2 linked regions of the Schizosaccharomyces pombe genome follow. Each later gene encodes a partner of the first gene's protein in a complex. Each region holds a gene or a part of one and is shown on either strand. Other genes may lie near its edges. The genes, in order: hfl1 and atg8. A codon is read from its position in the direction of its gene.

The links.
Region 2: the proteins of hfl1 (region 1) and atg8 are in contact, whole or in part, in a crystal structure (PDB 6AAF), measured with the Schizosaccharomyces pombe proteins. Residues at the interface, in NP_593211.1 of Schizosaccharomyces pombe: Leu386 (codon at 3,462), Gln387 (codon at 3,465), Phe388 (codon at 3,468), Glu389 (codon at 3,471), Ile390 (codon at 3,474), Asp391 (codon at 3,477), Glu393 (codon at 3,483), Met394 (codon at 3,486), Glu395 (codon at 3,489), Leu397 (codon at 3,495), Tyr398 (codon at 3,498), Gln400 (codon at 3,504), Ala401 (codon at 3,507), Lys402 (codon at 3,510), Met404 (codon at 3,516), Arg405 (codon at 3,519), Tyr406 (codon at 3,522), Gly407 (codon at 3,525); in NP_596531.1 of Schizosaccharomyces pombe: Phe5 (codon at 2,227), Phe9 (codon at 2,239), Lys13 (codon at 2,332), Glu17 (codon at 2,344), Arg20 (codon at 2,353), Ile21 (codon at 2,356), Tyr25 (codon at 2,368), Arg28 (codon at 2,377), Val31 (codon at 2,552), Ile32 (codon at 2,555), Lys46 (codon at 2,597), Lys48 (codon at 2,603), Tyr49 (codon at 2,606), Leu50 (codon at 2,609), Val51 (codon at 2,612), Pro52 (codon at 2,615), Asp54 (codon at 2,621), Leu55 (codon at 2,624), Gly58 (codon at 2,633), Gln59 (codon at 2,636), Tyr62 (codon at 2,645), Val63 (codon at 2,648), Lys66 (codon at 2,657), Arg67 (codon at 2,660), Thr87 (codon at 2,720), Phe104 (codon at 2,771).

Annotation. Positions count from the first base shown.
Region 1 is NC_003424.3:1,106,524-1,111,475, forward strand, and holds hfl1 (transporter Hfl1), read left to right. Parts: upstream 1-2,014; 5' UTR 2,015-2,043; coding exon 2,044-2,180; exon of another isoform or gene 2,181-2,228; intron 2,229-2,235; coding exon 2,236-2,323; intron 2,324-2,531; coding exon 2,532-3,587; 3' UTR 3,588-3,593; coding exon of another isoform or gene 3,594-3,770; 3' UTR 3,771-4,163; downstream 4,164-4,952. Other genes in the region: Lsd1/2 complex PHD finger domain-containing protein Phf2, read left to right, coding at 1-6; nth1 (DNA endonuclease III), read right to left, coding at 250-1,317; AP-3 adaptor complex subunit Aps3, read right to left, coding at 3,594-3,770, 4,233-4,286, 4,329-4,595. UniProt on the Schizosaccharomyces pombe protein: Vacuole membrane protein that recruits ATG8 to facilitate the degradation of vacuolar integral membrane proteins during early-stationary vacuole turnover (EVT) when cells enter stationary phase.
Region 2 is NC_003423.3:3,683,586-3,687,479, reverse strand, and holds atg8 (autophagy-associated protein Atg8), read left to right. Parts: upstream 1-2,109; 5' UTR 2,110-2,214; coding exon 2,215-2,248; exon of another isoform or gene 2,249-2,329; coding exon 2,330-2,385; exon of another isoform or gene 2,386-2,551; coding exon 2,552-2,827; 3' UTR 2,828-3,199; downstream 3,200-3,894. Other genes in the region: SPOM_SPBP8B7.26 (uncharacterized protein), read right to left, coding at 1-217, 272-356; cyclophilin family peptidyl-prolyl cis-trans isomerase Cyp4, read right to left, coding at 881-1,023, 1,117-1,579; rnf10 (ubiquitin-protein ligase E3), read right to left, coding at 3,398-3,894. UniProt on the Schizosaccharomyces pombe protein: Ubiquitin-like modifier involved in autophagosome formation. With atg4, mediates the delivery of the autophagosomes to the vacuole via the microtubule cytoskeleton.

The sequences.
Region 1 (4,952 bases):
ATTTAACGAGTATCTTACATTCTGCATTGTTTGTTGAAGGGTATAACAACATTAATGATTTCAATTTATTCCAAGATTTAAAAAAATTATTAAAAAGTAAAGGTAGAGGATATTATAACTATACAGTCAGTAGCAAAAGGTTCTTGAATATGTTTAAAGACGGAGTTGTAAAGAATAAATAATTTTGAGTAATTCATGTAAATAAATAACAGATTTATGTTGTCCAAAATTTACGGTCCTAAAAATAAATTAAACCAGATCTTCAATATCTTGTAAACTTTGTTGGGAGAAATACTGGGATGATTTTTTTGCAACTCGCTTTGACCTGCGCAGTGACCTAGTTTCTTTTGTAGTTGAATGGAATGCGACAGGTGGCTTCTGATCTACATCAATATCAGCGGCTGGTTCTTTTTTCAAAGGTTCATTCATGTGTGATATACTATCAACAGGGTCCAAGTCCTCAAGTTTTATAAGTGATTTATCTTCGATGCTTTGGTAATACAAATCATCTGTAGGAAGGGAGAGTGGAGATAGAGGAGGTGACTCAGAAGCAGGTCTTTTTTTGACTCTTTTAATCGTTTTGACTTTTCTCTTAGTTATTGTGATGCCACTTTTTTCTTTAAAGGCGCTAGGACACAAGCCCTTAGAAGATAAAGTACACATATCACAGCGCCTTCCTCTTGGTAAACAGATTGTTTGCCCAAAACCGACAAGTGTATGGTTCAGCTCAAACCATAATTCCTTAGGCAGCCAGCTTTGCAAAGCAGCTCTAGTCTGTTCTTCAGTTTTCGTATTACACCAATGAAGAAGATTACATATACGATGTACGTGAACATCTACTCCAATTCCAACAGTTTTATTCCATGCAATACTCATACATAGATATCCCATTTTAGGCCCCACACCTGGGAGAGTCATTAGGTCTTCTACGGTGTCCGGAATATCTCCTTGGAACTTTTCTGATAAAATACGTGCCATTTGTTTCAAATAAATGGTTTTTCGGTTATGAAAACCAACTTTCTCGATTAGTTTATTTAGAGAAACTTCATCAATATTTTGGATATCTTCTAAACAAAGTCCTCCAGCTAATTTTTCTTTTAAGTTTCGCATGGTAGGACCCAGTACTATATCTTTTGTTTGGCTAGAAAGCATCAATGCCACCAGTGTTTGAAATCGAAATTTTTTTGGATCATTACGTTCTCCTAATGTATGACAACCCTGAACGTCTACAGGCGCTACGACCTTGGCTTTCATTTTACAAATTTCATCGTAAACCTCCCTCCAGTTCTCAGGAGGAGTTCCGTAGTCTTTACTCATTGCTTAACAAATACAAATTTGTCTGCAGTCTTGGCTAAAGATTTTATTTTCTTCAACAACTCATTTACTGAACTTTAGCGATATTACATCCAAGAAACAACGCAGGTGAGCGCAAAAATATTAAAATTTATAAGTGATTTGTTTTGAATACAATGCGGTAATAGTCTGACTTGGAGTTTCTCAATTTTATAAAAGAAATAATTTTTTAACTAAGCCATATATATGCCAAGGCGAAATTCTCCTACGCATTAAGAAACAAACACTCATTATATTTTACTGCTTCTTTTTCAAAAAGTCAGCTTAAGAATCATCAGAATGCTATGGGAGACATTACTTTAGGTCCTCCATCATACAGAAGGGAGGAAAGTAGAGTTTAAAAAAAAAACAAAAATTAGATTAATTAAAGATCACGAATTGCTAGTATTATGGAAACAAATGATTTTTACAGCAGTACTACAGCTATAGGGCAAATTATCCTGTAAGACAGTATTATTAATTTACTTTTGCTATAAAACAATATCCATACTAAAGAGGTAAATCAATATTAGCTTCGATGAACTCTTCCACATCACAAAGTTTCGGTACTTTATCTATAGCTTATGCGTACAAACACCGTAAAGCCCGTAGTAGGTAGTATCTGTTTGGAATTGGAGAAGGCCCCCTTATAGCTTGTGGTAGCCACCTTGCCTGCATTTTTGTCCCTTCATCACGATCAGCTCTAATTTCATGGACAACGAAATAGTCGCATTATGCGGCTTCTTCGTAGCCATTGCTTTAGTGCTATCATGTATTTCTATCATTACTCATTTGAAAAATTACAAAAAACCAGTCTTACAGCGTTCTGTGGTGCGAATTTTGATGATGTTCGTAAAATTGAAATTCTTTGACTGATATAGAAATGTACTAATGCTTTGCTAGGATTGTAATTTACTCTTCTGTATCGTTTTTATCGGTATACAATGAAAAAATTGGAAGTATTTTCGAACCGTTTCGTGAAATTTACGAGGTAGGTTTTTCTCATTTAGCCGTTGCCATTGAATGAAGTACCTTCCTTGGCAATCAATATATTGCAGATTTGTTTTAAAATGCTTGAAAAGGGGTTGACTGAAAGAGTGGTTTGGCTGTTATGAGTTGTACTATGTTGGTTTACTAGTTTAGTTAGTTAATGAGGCGTAATTGAGGTTTTAATGGAATAATTTCTAACAATAAATTAGGCATTCGCTTTGTATTGCTTTTTCTGTTTATTAATTGATTATCTTGGCGGAGAACGGGCTGCAGTTATTAGTTTGCATGGACATCTGCCTCGTCCTAGGTTATGGCCCTTGAATTATTTGCAAGATGATATTGACCTAAGTGATCCTTACACCTTCCTTTCTATAAAACGTGGGATTTTACAATACACTTGGCTTAAACCATTTCTGGTGATTGCCGTGCTGTTAACAAAAGTCACCGGAGTCTACGACAGAGAAGATCAACCTGTTTATGCTTCTGCAGACCTTTGGATAGGTCTTGTTTATAACATTTCAATTACGCTTTCTTTATATTCACTAACAACTTTTTGGGTTTGCTTGCATGAAGAGCTCGCTCCTTTTCGCCCTTTCCCAAAATTCCTTTCCGTTAAAGCTATTATATTTGCCTCTTACTGGCAGCAAACCGTTCTTTCCATTACAAACTGGCTGGGACTTTTAAATGGAACAGGCTGGATTTACTCCTTACTAAATCAGAACGTTCTCATGTGTTTAGAAATGCCCTTTTTTGCCCTCTCACATTGGTACGCTTTTCGAATCGAGGATTACGATACACCCACATGGCTGTCTTGTGCAAGACTACCGCTCCTTAAAGCCTTTAAAGACGTAATCGGGTTGAAAGACGTCTGGTGCGATAGTTTGCAAACTCTACATGGAGATCGTTATGTATATCAAAATTTTGAGCCTGGGGAGAACTTAATACCTTCAAGAAACGATGGAAGGATTAATAGAACAAGTCATGGTCTTCGGTACAGTCAGGGAGGTCAATCGAAATACTGGATTTCTCGATATGATCAATCTCGAGTGCGTCTCATTAACAATAGTCAAAACTCTCCACAATCAAATAAGTCCTACTTTTCTATCCCAGGGATGTCAACTTCACATTTCGAAAATGGGCTCCAATTTGAAATAGACGATGAAATGGAACCATTATACAATCAAGCGAAACAGATGCGTTATGGTGATTATAATTATCCAGTTCTTCTAGTGAACAATACTCATGCATCTTCTTCATATACATAAAAGTCACTAGAACCTAGTAGCAAAAGAACTTAATGTATTGCTGAATGGCATTGCATTGGACCGTTTGGTTTTTGGCATTTGATTCTGAGCTGCCAAAACAATTTCATTCAGATTTGTCTCTAAGACAAGACCACCAGATACTACCTCAGCAAGAATAGCATGTATTTCTTGGAATTTAAAAACCTATATTGTGTTAGATCTTTCTAATTCGCTTTCAAACAGATGGCTTTCAACTCTTCTAATTATTTCTTCCTTCAATATCCTTTTTTTTTGGCGTATACACTTGTATTTGGATAATTATTACTAACACCTCCTCTTTTTTTTCATTGGAGATTGCGAATCATCGACAATGAGACTCTACTTCCAGTTCTATGCATAATTTCTTTCTTGAAGGCGATGAGAAGTAAAGGAATTAGGAATTAAACTCTTGTAGTTCCTAAGTTCAATAAATGATAAAAATAAATGTTATGCTCTTTTGATAATCGAATATTGGACAAACATTAATGTTTCTTGTAAGGCCAAATTTCCAAACATTCGAAACCAAATAAGAAAAAAACAAATTAAATAAAAAAAAACGGAATCAATGGTTTCAAACATATAGCAGTAGGATAATGGGAAGATAAACGAGTAGTGAAATGTACTTACCAAATCAAGCTCGCAAACATTATTAAAGCATCGATCTAATGCTTCAACAAATACCTTTAATAGTTAGAAATTGGAAAGTAACTAATTTCAACTTACTTGAATGAGATCGAGAATTCCTAGTTCACTTTCACCTTCATCTACTACAAAAACGAAGTAGAGAGTAGCGTACTGGCGATAAATTATTCTATTTTTACCTGCAATTAAATTACTTTCCAAAAAATTACAAGCGGTTGGGGGCCTAGTGGATACAGCTGCATATATATCTCCTATTAACTTTTGTTGAATGGATTCATCAATTGGAGTGTAAAACTTTGTGAGACGAGGTTTCCCTTTATTGTTAAATATAAAAACAGCGTAAATCATGACAATAGAAAGGGAAAGCTGGCAGAACCCAAATATGCAGTGCTTGGTAAACGGCAAGCTGAAGTTTAAGTTGAATATACGTTAATAGTAGTTTGGAAGAACCAGGATCGACAAATTTCTTTCAATGCCTTAGTTAATTTGCTATATTTAAGATTTTCATGGTTTTATATTTATTGAGTATATTATTTATCCACTATTGAACCAAAGATCTGTTACTGAAATTCATAATGTCTAGTAAACAATTTTTGCCATGCCTTCAATGATCTCTATAACGAACTACTTTGTATACAATTTAGGAATAGAAAAATAGGAAAAAACATTTGTCTTCCACCAATTTTTGAATTGATGGTTATGAAA
Region 2 (3,894 bases), on another chromosome or scaffold:
GAAGGCTGCGAATAAGAGGGTTTCGAATAATCTTGATTTCCTACAGCCGGGCTAGCCGTTCTAGGTGTACTTCCAGTACTACTACCACCGGCACGCAACTGTGAAGCATGTTTTGGAGGAGGAGGCAATTTTGTAACATCGACATATTTTATTGATAAACGAGGCCCGGTTCCATGAACGGATCTAATATCATACATAGCATCTTCGCCATGTTCACCTATAAATCCCATTTTGTTAGTAATGTCTCAAAAAGCAAAGGAAATATGCTTACCTGGTAATTTCGATGTAATCTTATTCTGGAAGCGGTTCGCAGAATCCGACATCGAATGCAGTGATTTTTTTGTTGAGTCAAACATTACGATTAGTTTGAAATTGATTTCTCACAATTGACGCAAAAACCGATTTTACCCAAATGTTTGCGGTGGACAGCTTCCGACTCTCGAAATTCCTTAAGTCCGCTTTTCTAAGAGCCCATAGGGTAAACAACTACACAACGTGCTAGTAATATCAGCCAGCTGATAGGAAAAAATAATGTCTTTGAGTTCTTTTTGATAAAACATAACAAAATAGTAAGCAGCTAATAAGCTTCGCGTTTGTTGTCAATACTTACTATCAGAATTGCAGCATTGCTATTACGCTTGCTAAATTGGATAATATACGTAGAGTTCTATATTCATTCAATTGAAAACTTGTTAAAATCGCATTCTTTATGCGTATATTAGTTATACAACTATGGCTGTCAGAAAATGCAAACAAACTACCACAAGAAGTGATCCTTCCAATGATAAACGTTTATGTTAACAGAATGTAAAATCATTGCTTTTCAAGTAAATCTTATAAACACTAGATGTTGATGACTTTCATAAATAGAAAGTAGGGATTACAATTCATCTGTTCCGTCATCTTCAACATTTTCTTGAGACAACTGCCCAGATTTGATAATTTTTACATCTTCAAGAGGCTTATCACGGTTGTCAGTCTCAGCTTTGGAAATTTTCTTGACAATATCGTAACCAGAAAGGACTGATAAAATTAGTATTAGCAAACAAAAAAAAGGAAAAAGAAAACAAATAGTCACTTTTATAAAACATATACAACTACAATATGAATTCTTACCTTCACCAAAAACAACATGGTGTCCATCTAACCAAGGTGTTTTAACTGTAGTAATGAAAAACTGAGATCCATTGGAATCGGGTCCAGCGTTAGCCATGCTAAGCAAACCGGGACGTTGGTGAGAAAGCTTAAAGTTTTCATCAGGAAAACGGCTGCCATAAATTGATTTTCCACCAGTACCATCACCCTTCGTAATATCACCACCTTGAATCATGAAATTGGGAATAACGCGATGGAAAATAGATCCTTCATATCCAAATCCCTTTTCTCCGGTGGCTAATGCGCGGAAATTTTCGGCTGTTTTGGGAACAGTTTTACCAAACAATCCAATGGTAACTCTTCCAAGGAACTCATCACCTTGTTGCAAGTCGAAATACACTGTGTCTGTAACTTTGGGGCCACGGTTGGCAGAGATAAGCCCAAAGAAAAGAGTAAAAAGTAAAGAGAAATAGAACAACTTCATTTTTGTTTTCACAAACTAAAAGCTTCGTTGTGTGGTAAAGGATAAATAAATAGTTATGGTGGGGTTTAATAGCAAGACTCGCTAGATTTTGGTTGCTGTAGCAACTTTTAGCACAATGTTAAGCAAATAATTCAAGAAGCGCTTATTTGTTTACATCAAACACTACTATTTTTCTAATGGTTTGATTATTTAATGAAAGATAGAAATAGTAATTATTTGCAAAATTCTATTTCCTAACCTTTTTTGGAAGGTATTTACGTGTTAAGCGTGCTATTATTTATTTACACAACGTCTTTATTTCCATTCTTGCTTTTCTTCCTAAAAGAGTTGTGACTTTTGTTGTACCAAGGATTGAGTATATACCAATTATGGCTATCATACTATAAAGAAGTAGTAAAAATTCCTTTTGATTGTGTACTGCTTAAGATTCGTAAAGTATTTATTTATTACGAAATAAGGTAACTTATCATAGTATCATAAGATTGCTTCATATCTCTGTATACGTTACCCAAGGGTACGCTTATTTATCCAAGACCGTATACCACATAACTCACGCACCGTTTACAAAGAACACCGAATTTTGAAGCAATTGAAGAGAGGAGTTACTACTTCAAGCAAGAAGTTTGAGAGTTCTCATGCGTTCTCAATTCAAGGACGACTTTTCTTTTGGTATGTGTCAAAAACTTATAGAAGTTGTTTTTTGGACAGCATTGTAGAATACCTGGAACTAGTAGGCTAATTAATAATCAGAGAAACGAAAAACAGAGTCTCAAAGAATCCGGGAAAAATATCCCGATCGAATACCTGTAAGTAGAGTCTGGTGGTCAAAGAGAACAGGTTTCAGAGCAAAATAGTGGTGAATTGAACAACACCCATTGTTTTTGTCATCAAAAGTGAATCCATTGTTACAAGTCTGACCTTTTTCTTTCAAAAATACAAATTACGTTTTAAACTTAACTGCTAACTTAACAGGTTATTTGCGAGAAAGTTGATAAATCTGATATTGCTGCAATAGATAAAAAGAAATATCTCGTTCCATCTGACCTTACAGTTGGTCAATTTGTATATGTTATTCGCAAACGGATAAAACTTTCTCCTGAGAAGGCCATCTTTATTTTCATTGATGAAATCTTGCCCCCGACAGCGGCCTTGATGTCAACGATATACGAAGAGCATAAAAGTGAGGACGGCTTTTTGTATATCACGTATTCAGGAGAAAATACATTTGGAACAGTGTTTCCTTTTTAGATCAACAATTTGCCTGTTTTAAGATGGCCCCGCCTTCTTTTAATTGTGATCAGCAAAATTGTTTGTGGACAATGGTTGAATGATTCTTTATGTTTTTTTTACTCTGCATTTCTAGCTTTTTAGCTTTCAAGTTTCTTTGCTTTTGCATTATGATTATTTTACGCGCGTCTTATACATATCATTCTCAGGTTAGCCACCACGATTTTAAGGATGTTTCAGATTTGTCTTACAATAGATGTGATGAACGCTTATGACTAGTTTGCTTTGACAACAAAGTTATTTTACCTTGTTAATTAATAAAAACCATCAATTAAAAAAATTGATTTTGATTTTCTAATAATATTAAAATGTTGATAAATAATAAGTAGATATATATCATCAGCTGATTCTATCCTTTTTTACATTAACTGGTTGTCATAATAGCGAATACTATTCACATGCCCCAAAAAATTGGTCAATCGTAAACTTTCATAATTCAAGCAACAAGTGTTATAACTATATTTCAAAATAAAGCCCACTCCTGCATTTCAAAAATTTCAGTAGCATTTCATCACTGAGAATGCTCCATCTTTATCGATGGGCGGCACCTGTTGATAATAAAACTAATTTCTTCTTTTTTTTGTTTTTTGAGTTTTTGGAAGGTGCAGATAATTGAGCAACTTTGTCCCAGTCAACTTTCCAACCATCAAGATCGTCTTGATCATCGGTGTCATTTTGAATATTGGCAAGAGCTCTTGTTCCCCAAACAGTCTTTGCAGTAGATAAGGTAGACTCATCTGTATTAACCTCATCGGTAGATTCAAATTGATGATGACTTCCCAATGTGGGGAATGCTTCAGCAGGGTCCTCATGCACTACGGTTTTTGGCACAGGTCTCTGCATATTTAACTCGGAGTATATCTGTTCCTCTGTATCACGTTCAGCCCGTTGTCGATACCTTTCTTCTCTCATTTCTTGAGCTTTACGTTGCTTGCGTCGTTTACTGATTTCTGATTTGAAGGTTAACAAGACTTCTTTGGGAATAATCTTAGACCAATCACACTCAATAAAGGCAACTTCACAGCCTT